Linked DNA regions of Coturnix japonica. The protein of the gene in region 1 interacts with the protein of each later gene in a pairwise test. Links are inferred from orthologs where the notes say so. Each region holds a gene or a part of one and is shown on either strand. Other genes may lie near its edges. The genes, in order: FBXO7 and PSMA3.

Region 1 (16,066 bases):
ACAGGAATGGCTTTTTTTATTTCCCATAGCCTCCACAAGTTCAGCCTCAGACAATGAAAACTCAGCCTGGACCTCAGCTTGCACAACTGTCTCAGCCACGGCCTCCTCCCCAAGGTACAGTTGTTTGGGGACCCTACAATCGCATGGACTGTGAGAAATCAGTTTGCTTTTTAAATAAAAGCTCTCAAGATAAAGGTTTTGCTCATTGTTCCAATTCACTGATAAGCAAGCAGCAGATTCTGTGAGCTGCTAAAGGAGCTACTGTAGTACTCTGCAGTAGCTCAGAAAGTGGGCTGAAAATCTAGTACTGTTAGGCCTGGAATAGATACCAAGATGGTGACACCGGGATCCTTGATCCATCTATACACACGTTACCCTGTCACCAAGGAAAAGCACACCCTCAGCTTCTCTTGACAGCAGAAGCAAGCTTGACTTGTGACTTGGCCAGAACAACACATTTGGTTTACTGTCCAGATTTAGCCTGAGGTGTTGAAGAATGTGTCTGCCCTATAGGCATGTCACACCACAACAAGCATTCAATTCACAACCAGGCCATCCTTTTTGGCCACCTTTGTCCCTTTCTTCCTTTGCAATCACTAACTTTTCCCAGCTTTTCACACTGCTGTGTCATATTCAGCAATTTCTCTGAGCCAAGGCTGCCTCAGTAGCCTAGTCTTTGTTCATGGCTTTAATTGCTAGGATTGAGCTGCATGCAGGTCATTTCCAATTAGCAGAAGTGAGTAGTGACCAAAATAATCAAGTTCAGACTCTGTTTTGAGGGTCTGCTACCAATATGGCTGAAGCTACCTGCTGATAACGCTGGAACAAACCCATGGATAATGATAGGGTGTACAGTTTTGCATCAAAATGTTGGCCCCACAAAGAGACTGTTGACCCAAACCAATCTTCCTTCCCAATGCAAGTGCTTGCCAAGAACAAGCATAAACTAATAACTAATATTGCCAAGAACAAGAAATATTAGTTATGTGGAAAAGTACAGCACATTGAGGCAATTTCCTTTGGGTAGAGTGGCAAAACTTCTTTAATTTTTAAAGAAATAAAGGAATGGACTACAAAAGCTGTAGAGCCATGGGCATGACACTGGTGATAGACTTTTATTTATGTATTTATTTTGTCACAGAGGATTTTCCTTTTCTTTTGCATGAAACTGCTCTGAATAGTTTCTCCTCTTAGCAATTATCCATATGCTGCTTGCTTGTTTTCCACATGACCTTCCTGATGCTTATTATCTACGTGACCCTTCCAGGTGGACCACGCCAGCCTCAGGTGTCTCAGCCTCCACGGACAAATGCACCTCCACAGCAACGGCTCTCTCCTCAAGGACAGCAGCCTCAGAGTCCCCTGTCCACCTCACCTCAGCAGCAAAGGTCACCTGGATCTCCACAGCAAGTCCGATCAGCAACTGGATCCTCTCCAGTCCAAGCTTCCAAGGCAGGCATGTTCCCACCACAGCAGCCCAGACCTCCTGCTCAAGGCCGGGCTCCAAGCCAGCCAAGCCCCACCGAAACGTCCAAGCAGCAAGCCACTCCACAACCACATCTGAAGTAGGTGCTCTGTTAAACCACTGATAACTGCAGGTACTAAAATAAGGCTATCAAGAAGTATTCTGACCTATTGTCAGGCAGCAGTTCCCCCCCACCCCCCAGAGACAAAGGCCTGAGTACCTGTGAGTGACTTCAGAGGTACAAATGCCAGGCACAACTCAGGTCACCAGTGAACTGCTATCAGGAAGAACCAATTGTACTTTACATCTATTAAGACTTCACATTCATCCTCTTGTTCATGTGCTCACTGCTAAATGTGTGCACTATCCTGACCTTGTTGGTAGACTACTACCTTTCCAGCAGGGTATGTAATCTTTACCCTTACAGGCTAGGCAGCACATTATCGTAGAATCATAGAATAGCTTGAGTTGGAAGGGATCTCAAAGATCATCTATCTCCAGCCCCTTTTCTGTAGGCAGGGTTGCCAGCCACTAGAGGAAGTACTGGATCAGGCTACCCAGGGCCTCATCTAACCTGGCCTTGAATGCCTCCATGGAAGAGGCATCCACAGCTTCTCTGGGCAGCCCGTGTCAGCATCTCACATCTAACCTTCCTTTAATTTAAAAACATTCCCCCTTGTTCTGTCACTATCTACCTGTGTGAAAAGTTGATTTCCTTCCTGTTTATAATCTCCCTTAAAATATTGGAGGGCTGTAATGATGTATCTCCATAGCTTTCTCTTTTCCAAGCTAAACAAGCCCAGCTGCCTCAACCTGTCTTTAAAGAAGAGGTGCTCCAGCCCTCTGATCACCTTTGTGGCCCTCTTCTGGACCCTCTCCAACATCTCCACATCTTTCCTGAGTTGGAGGCCTGAGATCTGCATGCAGTACTGCACCCACTACTCCCCCATTCTCCCTTGTTCTTGGATGTCTTAATATATGGAGATTCGCCTTGCTTACTTCTTTTTTTCCTGAAGTGTCTCTGCAATGGAGCACAAAGCATCCGTAACCAGCTCTAAAAAAGCACTTTCTCCTGCTGAGTCTGAGTTCCAACTCTGTTTTCCATTTCAGCAAATCGCAGTCCCTGACAAACACCTTCAGCATATCTGAATCACCTCAGAGGGGAAATGCCAATGAAGATGAAGCAAAAGCTGAGACCATCCGCAACCTGAGGAAATCATTTGCTAGCCTGTTTTCCGATTAACAGCCCTGCAGCTGGATCTGTGCTTTGGCCAGCCCTCACTCTTCATATAGCCAATTTCATCTTGGGATATACTCAGTGGTCCCCAGCAATTTACAGCTAATACCTGGGTAAAAGGAACTGAGAAAACTATAGTTGTTTTAATACGAAGAAGGTATTCTAATAACGGCCTGAAAGGTGACTGTATAAAAGTGGCATCGTTTCATTGTTTTTTGTGCATAATCAGAATTACGCCTGTTCAAGTGACTGAGCTGTAAATCAGATTTTACTCCAGCTAACCCCTGTGGAGACTACAGTCATGACATTGAAAACTAGATTTTGTTTCGATTTGTATATAGTCCATCCAATCGCTGACTTCCAATTACAGAATCCTTGTTGAGCCTGAGCTAAAAAAGAATGTAAGATTATCTCAGAAACAGATGTGCAAGAAACAGCAGCAAGTATTCATAGACTGATAAAGCCTGAGTAGGGAAATACAGTGAACCATGGAACTTCATGATACCAACTTTGCTTAAAGTCATTTTTCAGAGTGAACTACATTCAAATAAGAGACAGTGCCACGCATCGGTAACTGCCAAAGATCACGTGAGCAGATGGACTGCTGGTTTGTTCCAGATCACTCTGCTCACAGCAGTTAAAATGTCCTTTTCATGTCTTGCATTTATGTCCCCAGCATGTGATTCCCAAGTTTAGAAAGAAAAATGTCACATTCAAATCCTGTAGCGTCAGCTCAAAAGTAACCTGAGAAATGGCCTTTCCAAACACACACACACAGAAAACAACTTCTTTCCTTGCCCCTGGGAAACACTGTAGAGTTCAAATCCATAATCCATACAAATCCAAGCACTTTGGTGGCTTGATTACATCTGCCTATGTCTGTCCCCTGGGAACTTATTTAATTACTAGCAGAGCTGATGAAGTGCACATAGTTGGGTGCTGAGTGTTCCATAATACAGATTGGACGGAGAGATGGAGTGAAATCCTGTCTCACTCCTTGAACTCCCATTGACTGGGGTGAGTGCAAAACTAACCAAGGTGACAGACCTGTGATGGAACAGGAAAACTGTCATCTAGAAATAAGATGAACTGGGGTCCATCCAGAGACACCAAGCAATGGGAAGGCATGTACTTGACCACCCCAAGCAGGTAATGACCTTCTGGAGAAGACAGACATGGATCTTTGCTGGCTGTGCTTTTCTTAAGCAAGTAATATAGAATGAAGCTGTAGACAAACACACATGCTGCAACTAGGACATGGCAACAACAGGAATGACACAAACCATGTTTGTAAGAGAAAAAAACCAGTGTGTAAATCAATCTCACTATGGCTACTTCTACCAGCTGAGAGCCCACCCAATACACCTGATGAAAGCACCAGCCTCCATCCCATCACCTGACATATGCGAAGCAGGGCTCCAGGAGGAAGCCTCTTGCATTTTTGTGTCCAGTATTTGCACCACAAATCCATATGCACAGCTGCAAGGCCAGACTTCTACCTTTATGTTTCCCTTTGCAACTTCGTATCAGTTACACTTAGGAATACCAGTGGTGGAAAGGAGATCAGTAAGTCAGTTACAAACATTTGAGCCAGCGGTGCAGATCTTAGCAGTCACTTAAAAAGAGGTCCCCAGGTCAGAAAAACCAACAGCAGTATCTGCCATCTTGGATCTCATGATTCACGGGTGGGAATGAAGCCAGATGAGCAATTCCTTCATGCACAGCACCTGTAATGAGCATCTAGATCCAATGCAGTCATCCGGACCTAACATGACCAACCCGAACATACCTCTACAAATATAATTGCTTTTGTGACCTGTACACTTTCAGGCAAGTAACTGCATGGCTTTTCCAGCTTGGAAGGCTCTCGAGAGACTCATCTGGACCAATGATTTATATCTCAAGTTCAGAATTAAAGAACCACTCAATTCCCTCCTGATTTATCCTTTTTCTTTTTTTTCTTTTTTTTTTTTTCCCAGCTCTGTTTTGTCCTTCCAGGTTTGCTAAGCAGCTTACAATGTAGCATCATAAACACATGTCATTGCCTGAGAAAGAAAACAGACCCTGCTGTTTCTCAGTCTCCAGGAGCAATAAAAGAGTGACAAATGACTCCGAGCACTGTTCCACTGGCAAGAACAATAGCAGATTAACCAGCTCCACTGTATGGAGAAGAGGTAATACAGCTCTGGTGGAAGAGCATTCCCTTCCATAACACTTCCCTCAGCATGGCTCATGCCTTGCCCTACTAAGTGGTCACCAGAAACGCAAACATAGCAGTTTACTGACAGAATCCTCAATTGTTCTACCCTTCACATCTTTGTGAATCTCTTACCAACACACCCTACACACACACACACAAAATAAATAAATAAATAAATAGACAGGGAACTACTGACTGGTAAGATATGGCTCCTTCAGTTGACTTCAGTTAATCACTGGTATCACAGCAGTTGGATCATTTGCTGATGCTGCCCTTGAAACACAGCAGGACCGTCCTCCAGCTGACTACTGCAACAGGACAGCACTGCTGACCTGACAGCCAGCAGCGACTCATCTGCCTGAATGAATTTACATTCTGCTGTTTAGACCCAGACTGAAAAAACATCTTGTCTTTCTTGTAATATCTAGGTGTGGTATTTCAAGAGGAATGTAACTCGTGTTCTCATGCAATTAAACATCTTGTATAAAGCTAAGGCTCAGAATAGCACTCCTGCTCCAATGACTGCAGCTGTACTTCCTTTTCTTTCACTTATCACAGATGGGTATGTAAGACCTTACACCCTGCATATAACTAGGTTATTCAATACGGTCTTCTTAAGTTCCATGAATAAGGTAAAGCAAATTAAAAAGGGGTAAGTGCAATAACAGTTCCCAATTTCCAAGCAGCTGTTAGCAGCAGTGCATGCGAATGAACAGTACAGGTAAGGAATGATGGCCACCCTCAAGCATTTCATCTTCGTGTCTCTTCTGTAGTTTGCAAGCAGCAATGACACGTACGCCTGCCTCAGAAGCTGGTAAATAACCAAGTGGCTGGTTTTCAAGTATTTCCTTTGTTCTGCCATGTCATTTTATACTGCTGGTCCTGACATATTCACACTGTATTTCATATACTGTCCTATGAATTAAGGAAATTCCTCTGTAGGAAATCAACGGTTTGGGATAAGGCAGATTCCTTTATCTCTGGCTCACAATGCCTTCCCCTACAGTGCAAAAGAAAGGGAAGGAACACCTTCAGGTCACTCATCGGTGTATCTGTAATGATGCCCAATTTGTTCTTAAACGTCCCAGTGACAAAATCCATGATAAACAGAATCCATTAAAGTTGTGTGACTTTGCCTGAGTATTATGGATGCATTTCTGAAGGACACATCACAAGGGCAAAATGGTGCAAGACACACACAGTGCAGACTTCCATTTTCCCTTGAAGAATCACTGTTAGCTCCACAATGCCTGACTATACACTTAAATGAAAATTCCATTGGAACAAGGCAATTCAACCACACTAGGAAAAAGTTAAGGCTCATTCTGATATTGAACCACTGCCCTCAGGCTCTATTGATACTTATGTGTGATCAATCATGGCAGGATTTGCACTGGTTTGCTGCTGCTCTGAAGTGGAAAAAGAGAGAGAAACAAGAAATACAACTTTTGAGAGCAAAAATCAAACAAACAAAAAAGTATTATTTTACTCCCCCAGAGTTAATAGAACTTCCTGACCCAACCAAAGTCAGCTGATGTGTAAAACAAAAAGATGACTCACTGAAACATCACCTGAAAAAGCACAGAAGTATTACTGATGAAACAGCTTGTATTTAGTAGGAAACGTAATTCACTGCCATTGTTTGAATTCCAAAAGGATTGTAGAAAGCAATATCAGCTGTCACAACAGTCATCGGTACCATTTACGTTTTCAGAAACACCGAGATCAAACCATCTTAAAAAGAAGGAAAATAAGAAATGAAAAGTTCTAGCAAAGTTTAGTTATTCCAGTCTTTCTTTAATTGAGCTTCAGTATGACACTGCAGATCTCATCAGGAAACTGTAACAGCGATGTTGTTAGTTGTTCATTAGTTAACGAGACAACACTTGAAAAGCTCTAACATGCCACAGCATGTTTTCTTCCGTCGAGATAACTTTTGATACTGCTCTAGTGCAATTGAACAGAATTTACTGAAGTATGAACTGGTTCTGTTTCTCCTGCTGTGATGCCACATCCACTGCAATCGGGTCAACCTGTTTAATTCCTTAAATAGTTAGGCAGGCAGAAAAACTTATTTTTGCATCCATTTTAGTTCACACACAGTAAACGCGGCCATGTACTATAGCTACTTATTTGTAAAGTCAACCTGTTCAAACAAGGAAAAAGTAAAAATGTTTTGCTGCTGGTTCTTTGTAAAATTGCTCTGCTTCTGTTCAGGCTTTGAGTTGCCCTGCAGCATGGGTTCACTCAGCTGTTTGCAAAATGAACTGATTTGCTTTCTAATTTCTTCCACTTAAAACAAAAAGTCCCTTCCTTGTATTCTTTGTGTATTAAGTAACGACATAAAAATGCTTTTTACCTAACAGAAAAAGGAAAACGTCTCTGAAAAATAATCTATGAAAACACATCTACCATAGCAGTGGTAGGATCCCATTCTACGTGGGATGTGGCAGAGTTTTTGTTAAGAAAAATCATTAGCCAGGTAGATTTGAAACGAAATATTTTTTTTTCCTGGCAAATTAAAAAAACTCTTCAAATAAGACAGAAAAAGATACTCTTTATCTGATGAAGCAAATACTTAGCCAGTATCCTTCTAGTCTCTAAGTAGCACTCCACAGGTGATTGAAGAAGAGAGGTGGGAGGGAAACAACATGTACTGTTCTAAGTCACAGCCCATCTTGAAAAAGACCTTAGTGCCAGGTACTGCACTATTACCAGAACACAAACAAACCCTAACTCTGGGGTCAAAACATTACCATGCAAACAAGTTCTTGCAACAATCTGAGGAGAAGGCAGATGTTAGTGCCTGGCTTTACAAGGTCCTGCAGTTAGAAAGCAAGCTCAGGAACTAGAAAATCCACTGAGGGAGAAAGCAGCAATCAAATGAACGCACGGCGAACGTCCGTGGGGCGGCCCCGGCTGGGTCTAGGTGGAAACCTGTCATTGGGACCAGCTCGTCCTGGAAGTGTAGGGTTTGCTCCAGGCAAGGAACCAATGGGGTCAAAATGTGGTCTGAATGGAGGAAACTGGCATGGTGCTTCTCCTGGGCCAGGAATGAGTGAATTAATTGGGTCTCCAATATACAGAAGCGTTGGTCTCTCAACATATTCTCCAATGACCATGGGGGGATAGATTGGGTTTGATGGGAATGGGTTGGGAGGAAAGGGACTAGGATAAAATGGGTTGGGATGAAAGGGAATTGGATGAGGTGTAGGGGGCAGAAACATGTGCCTCCATCTCAAGGCCTCCTTCTTCTGTTTCAACTTTTTCTTGTATAGCTGCAGACAGAAACAAAGGTATTTTAAGGTTCACCAAGTCTCTTGTTGATGTTCATCTTCCCCTACTCCAACCAAACTCAACTCGTGTTTACAGAACACTTTTAAATTAAAATTTAACTCAAAACTACAGCTTCCCAAAGTCTCTGTGTTTGCCCTGAATTTCTCCCATGTAGACTAATCTCAGTGAGATTATATAGAGAAGCCACCTACTTCTTTCCAGTCAGTGTCACGAGGCCTTGCAATGGGATCTACAAGAGAAGCACAGAATCAAAATGAGCAACCTCTTTTAAGTAGCATTTATGCCAAGGATTTGTGGGAACATGCAGGAGATGAAAAAAACATCTCTGGTCAATACATAATGTGTTTAAAAAAAATATAAAGCTGTAGGACCATTCAGTATATAATCTACTCATATTCTATATAAAATACCATCTCCGAAACTCCTAGGAAATCCCAGGAATATTATTCCCATCTTTGATTTATAATAGCACTTCCCTTTACCACCTTTTTCTTCAGTCTCTTGTGAGGAATTCTAGCAGGAATATCCCTTCTCTTCACTCTCAGATAGCTGCAATAACAAGTGTATCTAAGTAGCAAGAGAAACAGATGAAAACAACCAAAGTTCTACCACATGATGGGCAGAACTATATGGTCCATGAGAAATGGCTCAGATAACTATTACTATTTTTCATGACAGAAAACAGAATACCCACCTGAATTACATCTAGTCCACTGTACTGGTCACTATCACTAATGACTCTATTTGATGCCACTATTTAAAAATCAAGACTGCTTACCTGAGCAACCTCTTATCAAAACGTAAGACCTAATTACCCCTGTTCACACGAGAATGAAATTGAAGAAAATGTGTATCACCGTTACCTCTGAAATCTCGCAGATACATAAACCTCCACAGAAGCTGATCATTTGAAGCTGCATAAAGATCACGGCAAACAGCAGACAGAGAGATGAGGGAACGGACATCCAGAAGTCTAAAAATCCGAAGCTTCAGCTCAAGAGGAAGGACCACTAACCCAAAGACATCTGGCAAGTTCAGAGCTACGAAGTGGAGGACACAGAAGAATTAACTAAATGGTGCAAAGCTGATGACCCTGAAGAAAAGAAAGACATCATAACCTTTCCCTTAGATCATTCCCTTTTGATGCCTCAGTTAAACAACGGGTCTCCAAAAGCACCAGGACACGGTTTCTTAGAATACTGATCTCTTCCACCTTGCAGTATGTTTATGAGTTCATGAAATAGGCCAAATGGTACTTTACACTGAACACCAGTGACTGCTGTTAACCTAAGAAACATGCCGCATGCTTATGTGTGCAGGCTACAGAACAAAGGCCAAAGGAAAAAGGTCTGCCTGATTACAAGAGTCCATAAAAAAAACATATCAAATGCACAGCATATGTTTCACATAAAACTTGCCCGCACTGAAGTCTACGGATTCCACTGTGTCTTCAGAATACTAAGCTGAACTCTTTTACAGCAGTATCTATACACAGAAAGCCTGATTTCCTACTGCTGATAGGTCTTAGAAAAGTCTAGTAAAGAGACACAATCAATATCTGGTTGCAATTTTACACGTTCCATGTGAAAATTCACAGGTAACGTATTTGTGTCAACTGAAAACAGGAGAATGGCAAACATGAAAAAATTTGATGAATCTCAGACTCCTTTATCAAAACAGAAAACTGCAAATATGTCATTGTTCACAGGACAGTTTAGCACCAAAATGCTTATAATCATTTGCCATAACTTCAATTAGCACTGCACCGTGCCCCCTGTGTCTTGGTTTCAGCTTAGTGTCAAGCACACCCTGATGTTTGGCTGTTACTGAGAGATGAGTGCATGCCCACGGCTGGGCCGGGCCGCAAACATAACAGGAAGAGCCTGCCATGATGATGTAGAGTAGGGGGTGGCTGCAGTATGAGCTATGCCAGGCTGCATGCAGCATGTGGGTTGGACATGCCTGCAGTTCTACTGTTGAACTTTCTGTTGAACCGGTTCTACTGGCTGAGCTTTCCCACCAATATGCTGTTACATGCTGTTGCTTTCCAACAGATGGCAGCAGAGGGGCGGTCTGACAAAATGGTGTCTGACACAGAAGTGTGGATGAAGCAAAAGTCTGGTACTGAGTTCTTCCATGCAGAAAAAAAATTGCACCCACTGACATTTATCAACATTTGCCGAATGTTTATGGAGACAAAATATTAGGTGTGAGTACAGTGAGGCAACAGCTGTGATGTGAAAGAAGAGCCATGTTCTGCATGGCCACACACAGCTGTCACATAATGAAACGAAGAGTGTCTTTATCAGCTCATCCATGTGAATCAGTGGATTACTTCCAGGGACCAATGTACAGAGCTGAGTGTCACCTTCAAGAAGTTAGAAAAGATGGTGGCAACACTAGAATATTGAGACGTTTGTGTCAGGTGGGCCCCACCAAGGCTCACATAGGAACAGAAAAAAACAATTTATACAAGTCTGTGAGGACCCATTGCAACAATACCACACTGACAGTGACAGCCTCCTGTTCCATTCTCAATCATGAGATGTGGTGTCAGCACTATGAGACAGAGTCAAAACAGCAGTACACAGAGCAGTGATACATGAATTTCACATTAAAAAAAAGTTCAAGGTGCAGCCCTCAGTGGGCAAAGTGAGGAAAGGGATGATCCTCCTGGATTTCCTAAGACATGGACAAACCATCAATGCTGACTGCTACATCACAATGCTAACTAAGCTGAAGGCTCCAACTTGCAGAGTCAGGACAGCAAAGACAACCACTCTTTTGCATCATGGTTATGTCAGGCCCCATACCAGTTTAAAGACAGTGGAGTACATTGCCTGTCTTGGCTGCACTGTCCTACCACACCCATCATACAGTTTGGATTTGGTGCCCTCTGACTTTTGATGGGAAATTATCATTATATTGACTTCTTTTAAAATACAAAGATTAATCTAATTTCTTTAGAGTGTCCATTTTTTTCTTACTCTCCACATACCCACCACTGAGCAGCTGTCTGAACTGTTTCTAACACTTCTCCCTCAAGACTCTGCATACACTCCCTCCCTTTCTTCCATCTGCAAAAATTAAGTATCATCTCTCTCACCTTGTCGGGCAGCAGCCAGAAGAGAATAAACCAGCTGGTCTTTAAAGAGACGAGATAATTTCTGAAGGTCTTTGTAAACACCCGCAACCTTTTCTATCAAATCAGAGAGATAAAAAGCTTAATTTCAAGAGGTTATAATGCAATGATTATGCAAGAGCAGAAAAACCATGGCTTTCTTATAAACAAAACCGTGATCTGTTTGTCATCTTGGTGGGCCCAGGTCTGCAGCTAGTGTGTGTATGTGGATAGTGTGTATGGAATAGCAATTTTTTGAGAAACTCCAGCCTACTTCCATGGTAAGGCTAGGCTACCCAATGGCTTTAAAAAGCACCATTATGAGAAATACATGAGTTCTCCAAAAACCAACTGGCTCTCAAGCTGTCAGACCTTCTTTGATCAGATTTCAAAGCTCAGATGGCACACACCTATGCTGTAAATGTCTGTTACATTCATTTTTCAGATAAGAGTGCTTTTCCATTCTGTTATCCTAGGAAAGAGGAGCCAGAAGACTCTACCATTATCTTGGACACGTCAGTGCTCAGTTATTCCTCTAGAGCCTTTTGACTAGCTTCTTACATCAGTGACTGGAGATCTGAGAGACACAGTGTAGGACACCAAGTCATCCTCAACTGGCAACAAAGAGGTTCATTAATGCCTTGTAAAACAAAAGGCTAGTCAGTCTTCTGCTGACAAAGGATCCACATCCATCTGTCCTTCTCCTCCCCCACCTTAGTACTTCTCTGATTTTGTCATTCTGGAGAGAGTTATGTGGTTGGCATCTATTTTATAACACAGATAACAGTTACGTTGTCACAGTAAGAGTGTAGGTATCACCAGCCTCTAAAGTCCTGAGCCAGCAGGGAGAAAAAAAGAGGGTCTAATCCAGCATTGCTGCCTCAGAAATTTACACTGACATTTAGAACCTCAGAAATAACAGGCATTTGGGACAAAGCATGAGTCAGTCTTTGCAAAATCCTTTCTTTATTCAGTTAATCAAAGAAATTTGAATTACTTTAGCAGCAAAATACAAGTAAATGGCTATACTCTGAATTCCTTTTACCATAAAGCAATAACCCATCTAAACAGTGGTTGTATTTTTATTCTTTCTTGCTATTTTTTTCCTATTTAGTCCTCCACTTACTATTCCTACCCACTATTGCATCACTTGCCTACTTCCTAGTTGACTGTTATCAGTATTATAGCTCACGCATACCTGGTTCCTGAAAGCAAACAAAGGATGCTGGCAGCAGCTGTATTCTCTTCACACCTTTAATCTCTTTGTTGATTTTTAATGTTGCTGCAAACATAAGAAGAAGAAAAAAAAAATGATATTCCAAAATTGAAAACATACTGAGAGACAGCCAAGACCACTTCATCACTGCCTTACTCTCAGAGGTGCTTTACTATTCTCCCTTACCAGCTCCTGTCAAGGAAAATACCAATGACAGCCAGCAGTTAGATACACAGAAATTTCAGAAAAAATAAAAACTGAACTCCTAATAGCAAAGGATAACCAAATATATGTCTACAAATATTAATCAAAGAAACCTTGAAATTAGAATGGAATTCCAATTTAATATCTGTTCCATAATAAGGAATTGCTCAAATGCTAAATCAAACATTAAAGAGCAACTAAAAAGCAACAAACCAATCAAAAGCTACCAAGAGATATGGAAGTTGCCTCAAAATAAACAGACTTCTCTTAATTTTCTGAGTTAAACAGCTTTTTGAGACCACAGTGAGAATGCTCATGTGTTTCAGTCAGGACAAAAAAGAACACACACTAGAACAAAGAAATATGTAGTCTAGAAATGGCTTAAGTCTTGCAAAGAGTGTGAGACTAAATAAAATGGATTAAATCTCTCTCTTTTTAGTATTTACTCAGGTATAACACAGTTCCCATGAAACGAGATAAAACCCATACTTTTACAACACTGTAATGAAAAAGCTAACTGACTTCCCCAAACATTATTCCATTCTCATTAGAGAGAAGGAAAAAGCTGATACTGAGGCAAGAAATGCCAAGAATTTCCAGCATCAGGAAGTGGCATCTGCCTTATCAACCTGGATAATGACATTGTGATTCCAAAGAAGCTTATGCAAGTCTTCTCTTGCTAAGCAATCGTGATATTTAGCAACCTATATCCAGGATAAAACTTTACTAATTTACCATTAATAGCAACAAGATCTCCCAAAGGCACACAAGTCAAACCAGCAGAACCCTCTTCGCAAAGGGGATGCGTGTACTGTAGCTTGTAAACACCATTCCCTCTCCATTTCTCTGGCATAGACACTGCCTTGGCTTCTGTCCCCTGAAAATACACAGAAAATACCGTCATATCTTCAAATGGAAAAAGAGGACTAGAAACTTGAAAATGCCAGAACTGTGTTTGAATTCAAATCTTTAGTTTAGTCCCAATCTGCATTATGATACAGACTATAACTGCATGAGCACATACTTTTTTCCTCAATACTAACAGCAAATCTAAGGGAAGTTTAGCAATTTCTGTCTTGCGCCAGTTTCTGGGGAGGTTATTCAGCGTGTAGACTTATAGTCACTGTGTAAGTCTATACTTCACTCTGCCATTCACTCCAGCATTCTGAAAACTCCTGAATATATGATAATTTTCTGCATTTAAAATGTCTTATTGCACCTTTTCTGTGATCTCTGACAGGACTTGAAGGTCATAGCTTGAAAATCTCAGTGGATTAACTGTTTTCCTTTCAATTTCAGTATGAGAATTATCAGATGTTATCTCACAGAGAGATGCAACATAACCACGAGGACAAGCAGGGTCTCTCTTTCTTTCCTCTTAAACTTGCACAAAAATCACATTCCTTCTTTTCAAATCCACAAATCGACATTAATAAATTCTGCTCCCTATGGGAATGTGTTCATTGGATAGTACTTCAGCCTATGGGAGTGCTGTTTAATAATGTTAACTGGTGTTGGCCAAACAGAATTAAACTAATTTCATATGGTTTTAGCACCACAAGGAAAACAGGACACTAGTCACATAATAGTAAACACCTAATGCAAGTTACATGAAAACGGAAAAGATGAGCTCACTGGACAGAGACAAAACTGTAGGTGCTCTAGACATTAGTGATTCTAAAGCCTAACTGAACCCTGCTGAAGATGATGTAAGTTAATACTTAGGCAGCCCTAGACCTTATTAGCCACCATTTGAACTGTACCCTATTGAGATGACACTTACGTTGAGGAAAGCACTACAACAAAGTGCCACAATCCAAGCACATCTACACAAGCTTAACAGTAAAAAGCAGAAATGTCAGGTTATCAGGTGAGTTCCAGGTGAGGACTGAGAGGAACATGGAGGCAAGCCTCTCCTTTTACCCCGAAAATCTGCTCTAGAGTTTAGCCTTAAGATATACTCGCCAGTCAAGTTAGAGATGCTGACACTTCAGCAGACTGGGCTGCTTACAGTATACACACAGCCTGATCCAGACCTCTAGAAGCATCTTGCATTACAGGTTCTTGTAATATTCTACAGCTTACTTGCACTGACCAAGACATTGTGTACTTACCTGAGGTACATAGCCTGTCTCCATCATGAGAAGATGTAGTAGGACAATCAAGGCATCAGTGGCACTGGTACACTCAGCAGAAAGGTAGAGCACCTCTAAGGAATGCGGAATCTCTCCATCAGTAGCCTCACTGCACAGCATGGGTTCGGAAGGATAGGAACCTGTACCTTCTTCTAAATCAACATCTCCTGGGACTAATCCAGAAGGAAATTCTAGGCTGGATCCTGCCTTCAAGAGATAACAAGAGATACATGCAGAAAATTATACCATCACAATTGCTTGTCTGTCTGGCAGTCTTCATGGGCACCAAGTCAACACTACAGATGTTCCATGTAACTTCTACCGACTCAATTCATCTCTGTTTTCTAGCATCCCAGTTGGAGACTGGGATTATATACACAGCCTCTGTATTTTTTCAATACTTGTAATGCAAGTCTTTCATTTAAAAAGTCTGTCATTTTCTTGCAAATTGATAATAAATTATTAAACATTTGTCAGAATTCTTGCAACACTTAAAGGAACAATTATTGTGGTACTTCAACGTGCATAGCAAGAAACCAACATGATTAACTCAGACTCCTTAGAAATGCAATAGGCTTAAATAGCTAAAATAATCATTAACAGAAAGCATTTGCTGACATTTCAAGAAGACTGTGGCTTTATTGTCATTTCCTTTCTTGCATGGGCTTGCATGCCCACAGCACCAATGTACTAATGCTGCTTTGCTCCTGGCAAGAATCAATGGGACAACGGTCCAACTACATTCTCCTTCACTACTCAGAATTCTTTGGATCCTAAATCTTAATTCCTGTACTTTGAAACAATACCTTATACATATGTTTGGCAATATTTCTCATATGAAGGTCGGAGCGAGTGATATTTTGTATTTGACAATTAATCCAAAATCAAAGAACAAATAAACATCTTCTCAAGCTCCTGTCTAGGAAGGGACAAAATCAAATAATGAGACAGGCACCAAGCAGCACGGCACCTAGGGGTCTCTTCTAGAAAAACCACTTTCACCACACAACTAGCAGCTGGCAGATGCAGTTGTCTGCTTAACTGTTCTATCTACAGTCACAAACAAATCACTGCAAAACATGCATAAGACATGTCTATTAACTGGAAACAGGTTTGTGGCTTCATACAAATGTACACTTCTGAAGCACAATGCTACCTTAGCACTGTTAAACTTCATGCACAAGATAGACA
Region 2 (14,986 bases), on another chromosome or scaffold:
TGTCTAAATTACTTCAATCACTTACAGTTAATTTACTTTTCAGCCTCAGCCAACACGACTGCAATTCATCAGTATTGATTATCTTTGGAAGGCATTAATGCCCTCAGTCTAATGATTTAAATGTTATTAGCTATAAACAGCCACCATTAGCAAGAATTCATACAGCTTAGTTGGTGACTGCATCCTGACTCTTTCCTACCTTTAAGCCTTCTTTTTAAAGCTGACTTTTCAGTTCTGTGTTTTGTTTGCTGGCTGTTATTACAGGTAGCAGATGCTCACTTGAGAAGTAGCTGACCAGCTGGCACTGGGTTTGCACATCCAGGTTGTCAATTAGTTGCAAGGCTGCACTGCTCACAGGAGGTTTGTATTTTCAGGGATGTGGGTGGTTTTTTCCTGTGAGGAGCTGCAGTTCTGCTGTGTGCTGTATGACCAGTACAGATACATTGCAACCAGAGCCACTGTTAGAAGCTGCGTTATGTTGATTTCCAGAACAAAACCCGTCTTCTTAGCAAGTTTCAACTACTCTGAATCAAAGAAAGGCATCTTTTATTAGGGGGCTGCGGTTTCTTCCTTGCAGGCAGTTTGTCACCCCATTTTGTTGGTATGGGAGTATTGTTTCAACTATCATTTGGCTGGGGAATGTAGTTGTTTAAGTAACTTTCCTACTGGAAACAAATAAAGCTACGCTTTGAATCCACTTCCTCAGACACTACTCCAGCTTTCTTCTATTCCTGGAACATAATAGGAATGAATGTAGGGGGTTCTCATTGCAGAGAGTGCAGATACACACAGAATGAGAGCTGAAATGGTGCTCTATGTAAGCATGCTGTTAAGTCATCTTGTGTTTGCTGAAACCTGTTGATGTCTCAGATAATGAAAGCAGCAGATTCCTCCTTTTCTAAAAGTCTTGCAGAATGGACGTTTTACTTGCAGTTTTCTGGCTTTAATTTAGGAATTGCTGCTTTTTCTGTTACGTGTGGTAGGGATGTATCAGCTTCTATGGGAGTTCACTATAACTTAACCCACTGTTAGATTCCTCTTTCAGCAGCAGGACTTGCTGAGTGATTTTTGGATCTAACCTTTTTATTTGTCTCCTCTCACTATGTCAATTAAGGTGGTATTTTTTGCAGGTAGTTCTTATTACCTTTAGGAGAAGCTTCAGGGGACTTAACTATTCCTTATATCTGATGACACATGTGTGTTTGGACTACAAAGTACACGAGGCCGCTGTCTGCTTTATTCTAGTTGTCCATTTTTGGTTTGCACAGCAATCCTAAGGACCATTTTTAAACAACTGCTTTGGAGTCCTTTAATAGCAGCGTGTGAAGATGAAAGAGCGCTGCAGCTGGAAATGAGAGACTTGGTTTGAGCTCGGCTGTAGATCCTGTGTTCTCAAATACTGTCATGTGTTTACTAGACAGACAGTAAGGCTCCACCCTTACCTCTTTTGGAGCCTGTTCCCTGCAACTCTGTGTAACTGGCAATAAGGGACGGCAAGCCATCTAATAAGGAAAGGTAGAGGTAGTAAATGTCTCAAAATAGCTGTCAATCCTTAGGTAAAGGTAACTTCCTTACTGCACTGAACTTGAAAAACTGGTGTGTGCAGTAGAAACCAGTCATCCTCTTAGAGGTGTGCAACAGATGGAGGAGGAGGGGGAAAGAACAGTCTCTTTGCAGTGTTTTTGGTGGTGTTATGCACTCAAAACCCTATTTTTATCTTCAGTCCTGAAATTGAGCACTCCAGGGTTATGATTATCATTCAACAATGTATCTTAAACAGTTCACTGTTTTCTGTACCCTTCTATGGTTACCAGTTAAATCCTAAGGGAGATCACTGCCATATTAAGTTATATCCAAGCCCCTTCCTTAGAAGTGACCAGGGCTGCAGAGTCAAATAGCATCTCACGTGTTATTGTACCCATGTGAGCAGTGGAACTTGCAGGGAAGGGGGGCTTTTAGCCTTAGGCCATCATGCTGTTTTTGCTTATGCAAAGTGATGAATGACCTGATGCCTGGCATAGCTCAGATCTGCTTGGAATTAATTGAAGTGCTTCCTTTCTGAGTCAGCACCAACTTCAGCTGAGCAGTATTTATTGTGGAGCTCTCCTTATGTTTATCTGTCCTACCAGAAACCTTACACGTGGGTTACTCCTGTGATGTTCCAACAGCTCAATCTTAAAATTATTTATCAGTAGTAACATAACTTTGAATGAAGATGTTATCCAAAATCCTGTATAAAAAGTACAGTCCATGAGAAAGGATGACTTTAAGCTAAGAGATAAACAATCATATAGACCAGCTTTCTTCTGGTGTTGCATTAGAGCACGTACTTTGGGGTTCAAGCAATGGGATTTGCCTTTAATGCTGTGAAGTTGTGTTCCAGCGTGGCAAGTACTGCAGTTGTACATTCCAAGTGGGTATGTGACTTTCTGTTCTATTACGCTATTCCCATAAATGGCCAGAGCCCAGACTAAGTAGGTTACTTGTTAAGCCTGAAGCAAGAAATGCTGCCATGTTATGGGCTAATTATGCCTTTCTGGTATCTTCAAAACTAAAACCTCCCAGTACTCTTGGCAGGAATAATAAAAATGAATGTTAAGAATCACCTCTTGCTGAAATCAGATATTCAGAAACGTCCTGCCTTACTAAGGGCATGTTTGTTATCCTTGCAATATACTTTTCAGTTGAGTTTTGCATTTCATTGTTAAAAGCAACCATTTCCAGGCCAGGCATAGAAGCTCCCTTCTTCAGAGAAGGGGATCCAAGCCCTATTCCTGCAGGAAGGCATTGCTGGTCCAACTGAAGTCTCATTCTGGGAGCCTTTGGTTACCCGTTTCAGACTCCTGCTGTTAGGTCTGTTGAGTTTATTGCTTCCTATATCACTGAGCCTGCATCTGTCCTAGTCAGCTCTCAGTAGAAGCACTAATTTGGTTGCCCTACTCACTTGGCATGTTAAAAGGTTACTGTGGCTACTCTGCCTTGGGTAACAGCTCATCCAGGCCTTCCTCTCTGCAGAGGCATGCCCTGGATCTGAAGCTGCAAGAGGCTGATGGAAGCTTTCATGTCAGCTTTCAGCTAACCAGCCGTTGAGCTGAAGTCTGACTCCTAGATACATTTTAAGCCTGAAGGGTAAGGAAGTATCTATAATTACAGCTGCACTTGCCCTTTCCTCTTAACCCAGTAACATCACTTGTAAGACTGTTACATTTCCCGTACCAAGCCCTAAATAGCTGTGGAAAGATTATAAAGGTGTAGCTGCTTGTAAATACAGCTCTTCATTTTCATTTAGCAGTTTGTGAGCAAGGTTTCAGGTTTGGAATCAAGGAGTCATTTTGTCACATTAAAGCAAGTGAAAGATCAGTCCTCAGCAGGTGCTTTAGGCTGAGATCAGTTTACTGATTGGCTTTCACTGACTCAGAAGAGTTGAATAGGCAATAAGCTTCAGTAGTAAACTCACACTGAATGCAAGACAGAACTAAAGCCTGATTCAGGTGCAGTTGCTATATGGTTGCCTCTGGGGACAGCACTCAAGGAAGCTGCCTGATAGAGAGCTGTAGCAGTTTGACATCTGTGCTTAGCTGGAAAGGCAAGCATTCCATGTGGCTTGACTCTTAGCCCAGGCTTAAGCCTGAGACAGCAGAACTGTTAATTAAAGTGCTTTCCTGGAAGCTGGTTGTAGTTGGCAGCTGCACATATCACCTAAACTGATAACATGTCTTCCTAGGCCCAGCCTGATTCAAAAGTTCTGCTGTAGTAAGAAGCATCTACACCAGCATGATGACACCTTTCCATCTTAAGGCCTGTTTTGATGTACAGTTTAGAATACAAAGCATTCTGTATTCTAAATTGATCCTAACTTATTTTGAAATGAAATCTAACAGACAGTAAAATGGAAAATTTATTAGTGCAAGTTGGTCACTCAGTCTCCTCCAGCATGTACAAAGGAGCGTCCCATGGGTAATACATTATAAACAAACCTGTACTAAGTCAAACTTGTCTTGAAGTAACAATGTGTTACATATTTTCATCATCTGATTCATCCTCCTCTTTCAAAGATTCCTATTAAAAAAAAAAAAGAGTTTTGTTTTACTATTTTCTCTACATACACAAAGGCCGCTATTGAGCAGGCCTTGTTTCTACTGAAGAACTAAACTACTTAAGAACTTAAAACCTGGCACCACTACTGCTTTCAAAGCAAATGCTGGGGGAGCAGCTTTATCCAGCTGGTTAACTAAAATACCTGCTTTAAAGGTAACGCGACTTACTGCATTTCCCATCCACTTATGTAATGACTGAGGCATTAATAAAAGAAATGAGAGGTAGGGAAGCTTGATGCCATGCTTTTTAAATGTAAGAACTGTCTGTGGATTGCATGGAGGGAACTTCCCAATTCTCTCATCAGGAGACATCCTGGCTACAAGTGATTAATGTACCCATCCCTTTTCCAGTCATTATAGTGCTACAATCCTGCTCCTTACTTCATTCATTCTATTCCAGACTTGCCAAGAGCAACACTGAGATGACAGCAGTGATGTCAGACCTTACCTTGGCATATTTTTCTGCTTCTTCTCTTATGTCTTTGGGAACAATTTCATGTTTTCCATTGGTTACTGCAAACAAAAAAGAAGTACCTATTAGAATTCACACAGCACGGTGCGATAAGTAAAACACTGCTTCTGCATGTTCAATACAGAAAATGAGAAGCTTTCTCTACTGTTGACAGAAAGGTAGAAATGCATTACTTTCTCCAACCCAGCTGAGTTCCAACTCAAAAGCTTTATCCTTTACTTCATCATGAACGATGTAGATTCTGGAAAGAAAGGGAGAGGGTGGAGGTTAGAACAGATTTATTGACAGGCAAATTATAATTTCTTCCTTTCACACATCTCTTACTCTGTTGAAACACCATTTCCTACATGTAATAGAAGCTTCCCCTCCTGCTTTCTCTTCAACCTCTCCTTTGTGCTCATCCCATTTCAAGAGGAAAAGAGTCTATCAGGGCATATTGTGGAGTAAAGCATTACTAAAACAGTGTGTTGCATGATTACAGATAAGATGCAAGGTACCCACGTAGGTGAGATGCTGAGTAACCCAATACAGAACATCACCTTTACAATAAATGTTATTTAAGATTCCAGTACTGTAGAACCAAGGCTATGACATCATTGCCTGCTTCTGCTCAATCAGTCACAGTGTGGCAGGAGCTCCCTGCATTTCCCCTGTAAATCTTGTTTCATCTTATACTTGAAACTAAATCTAAACACAACTGCTAATACACAACCTGTACGTAGAGCTCTCCATCCCATCTGCTAAGCCTACAACAACTTACAGCCTTGTGCTTTGTTTGTGCAGTTTCAGAGTCGTTTTGAGGTCCTTGTTATGTTTCAGGAGCAGAGAGCCCACACATTCTTTCCTTTAGCAGCTAACATGATAGCCTCTGACACAGCCACATAAATAAACTCACATGCTGCAACACCATTGATGGAAACATTTATTACTTCTTTATAACCTCTAAGGAACAGCCATAAAAGGCTGGAAATTATTTCTGTAGCTGCATATTATTAGATTTGTGACAAGTGCAGAAGTATCCCTGTAAGCATTAAGTACTGGAAACAGCCGAAAGGATACTTGTATTTATTTGAAGAGACCATAGACTGGCTTGGGTTGGAAGGGACCTCAAGGACCTTGAAGCTCCAACCCCCACCACATGCAGGGCCACCAACCTCCACATTGATACCAGCCCAGGCTGCCCAGGGCCCCATCCAGCCTGGCCTTGAACACCTCCAGGGATGGACGGGGCATCCACAGCGTCTCTGGGCAGCTGTTCCAGCACCTCACCACTCTCACAGTAAAGAACTTCCCCCAGCCCATCTCACAAGACAGATCTTAATAGAACACCAGACTAGAATCAGCACCAGCACTCATCTACAAAAGTGAAACCTGGTACCTCATGTAAAGGGAACAGCTTCACTTTGAAACCATAACAAGCCCACAAGCACCTATTTTTGCTGAGCTGGAGAAACACTCTGCAGACTTACATTTTCGCAACCTCTTTTACAACGTCACGGCAAGTCATTTCCTTCATCTGCAGACAAAAAACATACAGCTTAGCAGAACATCCTGTTTTGCATTTGGCCAGCAAACGAGGGACTGTGATGTGCCTATTCTCCACAATGCATCTTTCACTCACTAAAACATACCTGATTATTGATTAGACCAGCATATTTTACACCGAGCTTAGGGTAGAGCTTATGAGATACATGTAGTTTTACCATCTCAGATTCTCAACCACTTTGCAAAGCCATCGTACAGAAGTTGGTTGAGAAGCTGCTGAAGGACAGCAGTTCTTTCTTCATGCTGAGTCTGACAGCACTTCCTGTGTGTGTGTAATGCACACACCCAAGTACACAGTGGGCCAAAGGAAAAGGAAACGGCCCTGCTTAGGTAGATGTGCTGTCACATTTGCATTCCAACAAGTTTCCTAAACAGAGACACTGTCCCAGCCCTTCCATTTGTGACTCAATCCGTAACGCAGTGCTGACTTCTATTTATAAATCTAATCTGCGTCACACACCTATGTGTATTTAAGCACATGGAGTCAATAGTGAAACAAGAAAACCCAAAGGTCTGTTACTGTCATGTGTGTTTACAAAACAAAGCTTTCATTTATCTTTTGTCATTATTCTTTTCCTGGCCCAATCTTCCCCAAATAGGAAATACTGTAATTGTAATTAACTCCTGTAATTAACTCCCCATTATGTCCATATAAAAAAAGTCATAAATATGATCTGAAAATAACATGAGAAGCACTGCAGATGAACAGATTCAAGCAGGCCCCATGTGACAGAAGATACCAAATGTTTGCATAAGATGCAACAGATGTGATCAATGCAGTGCACCCCACCTGCAGTATAAGCTGCGTGTGCAGATCTCACGTACTGCATCCCCTCCCACATGCAGCACCTGCATTGCAGTACCTGCCAGACAGGTTTCAAGGTTATGATGATATTCTCACCTCTTTCTTTCCATCTACAGTCATCTTTCACAGGACAGATCCGCAGCTAATAGGATCATAGAATCAGCATGGAATCATAGAACAGCCCAGGTTGCAAAGGCCCACAGTGCTCACCCAGCTCCAACCCCCTGCTGTGTGCAGGGTCACCAACCAGCAGCCCAGGCTGCCCAGAGCCACATCCAGCCTGGCCTTGAATGCCTGCAGGGATGGGGCATCCACAGCCTCCTTAGGAAACCTGTTCCAGTGCGTCACCACCCTCTGGGGGAAAAACTTCCCCCAGTATCCAACCTAAACCTCCCCTGTCTCAGTTTAAAACCACTCCCCTTCATCTTATCACTATCCACCCCACCAAAGCGTTTGCATTTGTCTTCTTCCCATTTATGTTTTGTCATTCAATCAGGAAATCAGCTGAACAAAATCAGCTCTGCCCTGGAACCTGTCCAGCCCACCGTTACCAAGAAGCATCAGCACACAAGACCGCACTTGCTTCATGCTGCTCTGACCACATCACACTGAAAGCATTCTGCAAACAAGCCATGACAGATCAGCACAGCTGTGCTGTATGGCACACCCCTGTTCTCATCTACTGAACTTCACAGGCCCTACCATGAAGTTCAAGGAATACAAACACTGCAGCTCTACAAAAACAATTAGGCTGGTAACCAAAGAAGTGTATGTTTATGCTTCTCCTTTTAAAACTGTGTGCTCACTATGGACTTCCCATTGCCCAGGGTCAAGATGCCAGAAACACTGCTCCTATAGAGGCTAAGACAACGTATTAGGAAATACTTCTGCTTCTCTTGTACTTTATGAATTTAAGGCATCTAAAAAGGCAGAAATAATCCATCCTGAAAGCAACACAATAAAAGTGAAACAACCTACCTGAAGCTTTTCAATCTCTGTTTTTGCAGCCTGCCTGGCTTTACCGATGGCACAGCCCCAATAACCCTAAACAACAAAGAAAAGTGTAAGGTTAATGAAATACTACATCCACCACATACCTAACGACTCCTTCACTCCTGTAACAAGGCAGATACACAGCAAATGTTGGCACTGTTCTCTCTCAGGTGAGGTTCACAAGTTATTGGGTTAAGCACTGCCACCCTTGACAGAGCAATGCTAAGTAGATCCTCTGGGCACACACACACCTGCTCTGTTTGTCGCATAGGATCTTTTACTATAATTAAAGTAGAATTAGAAAAGACCACCACCAAAGCCCACCTAGCAGCCTCTGCACCTCAGTGTTTTGTGAGCGGAGTTATCACTGCAGCACTCAACCCTGCGGCAATGGATGGGACTCCTCATTGCATACAGGTGGAATGAACTCCCACATTTCTGAGAGCTTTAAAAACAGGCTTTATGGAAGCGGTGCTGCTTCTAAGAACTGCACGCCACGTTACTGATGTCCAGATTAGAAACCTCTAAAAGAGCAACTTAAAAGTAACAGTATTTCTGAAAGACTCACGTATGAAACTCCTGACGGGTCGATCATGTACAGTTGTGCGCCGTCATCGTCATCATAGGACCCCAACATGAAACTGGGTGAGAAAAAGCAAAATCAAACAGTCATTCTGCCAACCCACATACAGCAATGACAGCTAAATCAAGTCAGGGCTCCCCACTACCCTATTACACTCTGTAAGCAGTTTGTCTGAAGGCTCAGTGTTATCGTGACCCCAAAGCACCTGCAATTGACCAGAAATGTTTTACTTAACTATAACTACAGACCTCAGTTTGTTAGTTCCCTGGTAACCACAGCTGCATGGTAGTTATTACCTATTCTTTAGGGGATGATCACAAAGTTCTGCTTTCAAAATGGACACAGATTCAACATCAACTCCTCAGCTTTAAGCCTGATGGACAGGCATGCAGGCCATACACAGCCTGGTTTGCTCTGATGCAATAAAACAAAGGACAGGGGAAACTCTTCCCACTTCTTGGTTTATCGGTACCAAATGTGAAAAATGAGCTAAGACATAAACAGCTCCAGCCCTTCTGAAGCAAAAGGCCTTTACAAACAAGCACATGTTGGAAAGACCTACCTGCAACCAAAAGGTCTGACAGCGCTGTACAGTGTGTATGCATGCACGTACATGGCCACTCTGTCTGCAAGATGCTAAGGGGGAAAAGAAAAGCGGAGGCCTTTATTTGCAGAAATAAGTAAATCACAATTATTGCTTATGGTTATCGCTGTCAAGGTTAAAAAAGCCAAAAGCTCTGAGTGAACCGCGCTCATTTCTTACCTTCAGTGGAATGTCGTAGCCATAGTTAGTCCTGAAGTTAGAAGCTTCTTCTCTAGCTATGTCTGCCAACGAACGAGCATCTGCAAGCAGCCCCGCTACTGCCTGGAAGGAGAATTGCCATCACTGCATCTCTTTAATATTATTCTGAGCCCCTTCAAATCCTGAGAGCTTAAGCAGCCGCTCACCATTCCAACGTGCCGATCGACGTTGAAGAGACGTTTATTGGAGCCTTCTTCGTACAGCTTGGACAGAACGAGCTTTTCTACACCAAAGACAACGCCATCTTTGCACCTTATCCCAATGGCTGTACTGAAAGACAAGACAACAGGGAGTTTCTCTTACACTGAATAGAACCGTGCAGACAAGTAACAAAGAACAGCCTCAAGTTACGCCAGGGCATAGGTTGGATATTAGGAAACACTTCATTACAGAAAGGGTAGTTAAGTACTGGAATAGGCTGCCCAGGGAGGGGGTTGAATTGCCATCCCTGGATGTGTTTAAGAGCCGTTTGGATGCGGTGCTCAGGGATATGATGTAGCAGAGGGTTGTTAGAGTTGGGGTACTATGGTTGGGCTGCAGTTGGACTTGATGATCTTCAAGGTCTTTTCCAACCTGGGTAATGGTATGATTCTACGAATTAATAAAATGCTGGAGTGGCTGACGTTGGAAGGGACCTGAAGGATCTCTGAGCTCCAGCCCCGTGTGGGCAGAGTTGCCAACCAGTGATCAAATGACACAGTGACACAGTTTCCACCCCAGCAGGTCTGCTCCAACTCATATAGTTTTTACTCTATTTGCAGCCTCCCAAATGGAGGGTGGGGGCATCGATGCTCAAAACCTCACTGTTACAATCAGTTCCATCTCCAGAACCAGAGGCTGCTTTGAAAGAGCAGGGATCTCAGCAGGGATAGGGAGGTGTTTGTCCCTCTCTACTCTGCTCTTGTGAGGCCCCATCTGTTGTACTGTGTCCAGGTGTGGAGCCCTCAGTACAAAAAAGATATGGAGATTTTGGAAAGGGTCCAGAGGAGGGACAGGAAGATGATCAGGGGGCTGGGAGCACCTCCCCTATGAGGACAGGCTGAGGGAGTTGGGTTTGTTCAGCCTGGAGAAGAGAAGGTTGCAGGGTGACCTCATTGCAGCCTTTCAATACCTGAAGGGAACTTACACCCAGGAGGAGAGTAAACTCTTCGACAGGGCTGATAATAGCAGGACATGAGGAAATGGTTTTAAGTTAAAAGAGGGAAGATTTAGGTTGGATGTTAGGGGGAAGTTCTTCACTAGGAGAGTGGTTAGGCCCTGGAACAGGCTGCCCAGGGAGGTTGTGGATGCCCCGTCCTTGGAGGTGTTCAAGGCCAGGTTGGACGGGGCCCTGGGCAACCTGATCTAGTAAAGGTGTATGTTTGGTGGCCCTGCCAGGCAGGGGGTTGGAACTACATGATCCTTGAGGTCCCTTCCAACCCGGCTCATTCTGTGATTCTGTGAAGGAGGCCCCTCCACAAAGAGGTGGATCCAGCCGTATCCTACCTGCTGTTCTCCACAGCCTTCATCGCGTATTCCACTTGGAACACTCTGCCATCGGGAGAGAAGGTGGATGCCGACAGGTCGTACTGGAGAATAGAATAGAAAGGATCGCTCAGCAACCAACAACCCACGGCACAGCCCGGACAACGCGGCCCCGCAGCTCCACAGGGCCTCGGCCTAACGGGCCGCGGTGACTCAGCAGCGGCCACGATCCCGCTCAGCCCCGGCCGATGGGAACTTTGGGGCCGCCACCTCCAGGCCCCATTTACCCTTCTCGCCCCCCGCCCGCCCGCGGCCCGCGCTCACCCCGGTGCCGATGGAGCTCATGGCGGCGCCGCCTCACTCGGACACAGCCCCCCCTGCCGCCCCGGCCTCGATGCCGCTCCCGACCCCTCAGCAACCCGCGGTCCCATTGGCCTCCATGCAGCCCAACCAGCGCTCGGCGGAGGAGGGGTTTCAGCGGGCGGAGCGTTTGGTAACGCGAAGCGCTCGGCGTGTGCTGAAGAGATGAATTGGGAGGGTGCTCCACAGCGCCCGGCTAGCTCAGTCGGTAGAGCATGAGACTCTTAATCTCAGGGTCGTGGGTTCGAGCCCCACGTTGGGCGGCAGGTTAATTTTGCTCCTATAATAGAAGGGCTCTTTTATGGGGCATCCTGCAGCCTCCAGGACATGCTTTTATTCCAGGATACAGCAGCCAGTTCCAACTCCCAAACACCCGCCAGCACCACCAGAAATAAGCCACCTGTGTTAACTGCACCAGATTTCCCTTAATAACCAGTGGGGCTCCTCCCTGCAGCAATACTGAACTGCCAAGAGATGCACAGGAGCACAAAGGGCGACCATTGGCTTCCAACACCCTGCCAGCTCCCACACGGTGCTCATAGCAAAGCATCCATCTTCCCTAAGCAACGCATTGTTGCTTGTAAGTAATGTATTTTCATTTAATACACAGCGCTGCACAATGAAGTTTAATAATTCTGATGGGCAAAGAAGCGACTTCTGAGTGTGGCATTTCAGTGAGGTCCAAGAATTCCTTGTGTGCCCATTTATAATTCTTTAAACAGCTCAATTCTTTCCTGCTGGGGAGGCAGTGGGATGGTGTCAGCTCAGCATTGCAGGGTATCACACATAGCACAGTTCTTTGCTGAAACACTGAAGCCAATACTCACTGCTCAGAGGAAACACCATCCCTGCAGCTTTGCTAAGCAGCACAAGCCATTTTATAGCAGCTCCAATGCAGGATCCCATGTAAAGCATTGCATTCCACTCTTCAATCTGGCAGCAAAGCTTCCAGCTGCTTCCCAAAGCAGACAGTCCTCCGGTCTTCTCAGAGTACTTAAAGTATCTTGAAACAAAGCACCTTCACAGCACCGATAACAAAACACTGTCAGCTGCAAGTCGTGACTACAGACCAATCCTGCACCAGGTGACAAAGCAGCACAGGAGTCCACAGAATCCATTTCTAAACAATACATGAACACAGCCCCACATACAGCATCAGTAACCACCACCGTGCTCCCCAGAACATCCACACTGCTCACGTTTAATGGTGTTACACACATAACTTCATACAAAAAAATCCTGCTCATATATATATATGCATATGTACTTGAAACAGATGAGGAGAGCCCTTGTGTAGCATTTAAGTGCTTATTTCTCAGTTGAAAAAGCCCTTTTCATCAGCGGTGGGGGTGCTTTCCCAACATCAAACATCATCTCCAGAGGAGGATTACTCAGACAGCACCAGTCAGGGATGCGCCCCATCTGGCTGTAATATTCTCTGGACACAGAGCGGCTTCCGAGTATGTCCTGAAGTGCTCCAAAAATGGCTCCTGTTATTGACAAAAAAATATAGTTTTACATTAAAAAGGAACAAAAGGATGGAGGTACTTTCATTTTTAGCAGCCCTTTTTGACCCAAATTGCTCCCATTTCTACTCTATGAAAGTAACTAAAAATAAATCACACAAAGTCAGGGACTGGAAGGGACCACAACGGTCATCCAAGCCCAATCCCCTGCCCGTGCAGGAACACCTGGATCAGGTCACACAGGAACACAGCCAGATGGGTTGTGAATGTCTCCACAGAAGGAGACCCCACACCCTCACATGAAGAGGTTTCCTCACATTTACATGGAACCTCCTGTGTCCCAGCTTGCATCCCTTGTCCTGCTGCTGAATGTCACTGAGATGTGCCTGGCTCCATCCTCCTGTCACACACCCTTTACAAACTATAATGGCATTGCCCCTCTGTCTCCTCCAAGCCAAAGCGGCCCAGCTCCCTCAGCCTCTCCTTATAGTGGAGATGCTCCACTCCCTTCATCACCTTATATTTCTCCTATGTGACCAGCCCCTCTTTCCATGAACTGTAGACCCTCCCCTTTCACTTCAGCTTGCCCAGCAGCTCCCTGCTTAACCATGCAGGTCTCCTGGTTCCCTTTCTCTACTTCCTACCTGCTGGGATGCTCTGATCTTGAGCTTGGAAGAAGCAGTCCTTCAATGCTAACCAACTATCTTGGGCCCCTTTACCTTCAAGTACCCTGTCCCATGGGATTTCCCCTAGCAATTGCTTACATAGGCCAAAATTGGCCTTACTGAAGCCCAGGGTTGTGATTCTGCCCCTCAGCCTTCACCACTTCAACCAGACTCTTAATAGTAAGATCCAGCTGCACTCTTACCTCCCAGCCACGCCACGTAGTTGGGTTTGGCAGGTGGAGTGTGAACTTTGAAGGTTTTAGTCGCAAGGACTTCTTTGTATTTCGGTTTTTCCACCAGGTACCTGATCTCAGCCATGAGTCTGTGCAGGAATCCTGGTAACATGGCAGTGCCACCCATAACCACTAAGTTCTCTGCCAGCTGCTTCCTGGTGTCTATGGGACACTAACAACAAGGGGAATAGAAAACACAATACTTCAATGCAACTTGCACACAGACGCTTTCAAAGGTCTTAGAAATTCAATCAGTCCTTCTATGCACTTCAACTACTTGTGTCAGCAAAAAAGGAGAAAACATCTACAACTACAGACTCCATCAGAAGACCAGGCTGAAGGAACTGCCCAGTCAAGGCTGAGCACACTGTGAGTCACTGTAAATCCCTGTAGCTGAGTCTGGCCAACACAAAAGATGGTGGGATATCAATGCTGTGAATTCCCACCGGTTCCAGGAGAAGAAACACCAAACATTTTGCCAGCAATGAAAATGCCCCAACTCCATTCATCTTAAGCCTTTCACTGAGGAGGGAGCACTGCACTGCTTCTTTGCTTGGCTGAAAACTGGCCCAAACAGCAGCACACCAAAGAACAAAAGCAACCATAAAGGGAATGACACACAGTGACTTGCTACCCCACAGTGATTCACCAGAGGCCACAGCCTGAGGAGTCACCTTGTGCTGACTGCAACCTGTAGTCAGGGGGATGACACTGCAGGAGCCATTTATAAGAGCAGATTCTGAGGGTAGTGGTGTGCAAATTCTTGTTTCTATTATGAAGATACCTGAATGAGAGAATCCAAGATCAAAGTGGCAACAGATGTCTCTTCATTATCCTGTTCAAACAGTATTTCTGCAACTGAGTCTCTGTTGAAAAGACAGGAGTGTTAGTGAGAAGCAGCGCTACCCTACAGCAGGGCTAAAACAACCACAAACTCCTTGCTGACAGCACAATGTCACAGCTGCTTCTGCCACACAGTGTGTACAGCAGGAGGTGCCAAAGCCTCACTAATGCCAAAAGCAAACACTGCACTACAGTACTTCTCACCGAATGGAGCCAACTACATGGAGAATCTTTTCACCATCTAAAGGATAGTCCACATCTGGAGGTGGTGAAGGACGCTAGAAAGAAAGAAAGAAGTGCTTTATTTTCAAGAACAGAATGGTTACATCCACTTCAGAAAAGACCAGAGGAATTCTCATTCACTGCTCACCTCAGCACTGCCATCAATGTTGAACTTGGCTGCCTGGATCTTCAGTCCACGTTGGAGGTCACTCACAAAACAAGTTCGAACTTCATAAAACAAGAATAAAGGGACAGAAGAGAACTCATTGGATCAACAGTACAGACAATTTAACTTACAGAACACATTCTAGGTCCTGCCAGTAGGAAAAAAAACTAAGCTTCTATACCTCAGCTGAGCTCAGATGTATCCAGGTCCTACACTGAAATGAAGCTGACACTATAACTAGGCAAGATTTAGGCAAGATTTCCTTCTCAA

Evidence for each region.
Region 2: the proteins of FBXO7 (region 1) and PSMA3 interact in binary tests that used the Homo sapiens proteins (3 or more experiments, as listed by UniProt). The two-hybrid records come from large-scale screens. The link is inferred for Coturnix japonica from reciprocal best matches to the Homo sapiens genes FBXO7 and PSMA3.

The regions. Positions count from the first base shown.
Region 1 is NC_029516.1:48,671,021-48,687,086, forward strand, and holds the end of FBXO7 (F-box only protein 7), read right to left. Parts: intron 15,083-16,066; coding exon 14,855-15,082; intron 13,618-14,854; coding exon 13,476-13,617; intron 12,603-13,475; coding exon 12,519-12,602; intron 11,399-12,518; coding exon 11,306-11,398; intron 9,240-11,305; coding exon 9,063-9,239; intron 8,429-9,062; coding exon 8,391-8,428; intron 8,181-8,390; coding exon 7,782-8,180; 3' UTR 6,679-7,781; downstream 1-6,678. Other genes in the region: SYN3 (synapsin-3), read left to right, coding at 30-114, 1,268-1,565, 2,576-2,708. UniProt on the Homo sapiens protein: Substrate recognition component of a SCF (SKP1-CUL1-F-box protein) E3 ubiquitin-protein ligase complex which mediates the ubiquitination and subsequent proteasomal degradation of target proteins and plays a role in several biological processes such as cell cycle, cell proliferation, or maintenance of chromosome stability.
Region 2 is NC_029520.1:50,253,168-50,268,153, forward strand, and holds PSMA3 (proteasome subunit alpha type-3), read right to left. Parts: upstream 11,221-14,986; 5' UTR 11,107-11,220; coding exon 11,086-11,106; intron 10,866-11,085; coding exon 10,783-10,865; intron 9,568-10,782; coding exon 9,444-9,567; intron 9,361-9,443; coding exon 9,259-9,360; intron 9,132-9,258; coding exon 9,058-9,131; intron 8,554-9,057; coding exon 8,481-8,553; intron 7,964-8,480; coding exon 7,898-7,963; intron 7,897-7,897; exon of another isoform or gene 7,416-7,896; intron 6,086-7,415; coding exon 6,039-6,085; intron 4,811-6,038; coding exon 4,743-4,810; intron 4,611-4,742; coding exon 4,546-4,610; intron 4,060-4,545; coding exon 4,015-4,059; 3' UTR 3,881-4,014; downstream 1-3,880. Other genes in the region: ACTR10 (actin-related protein 10), read right to left, coding at 12,430-12,611, 13,456-13,657, 14,270-14,351, 14,533-14,606, 14,699-14,778. UniProt on the Homo sapiens protein: Component of the 20S core proteasome complex involved in the proteolytic degradation of most intracellular proteins. This complex plays numerous essential roles within the cell by associating with different regulatory particles.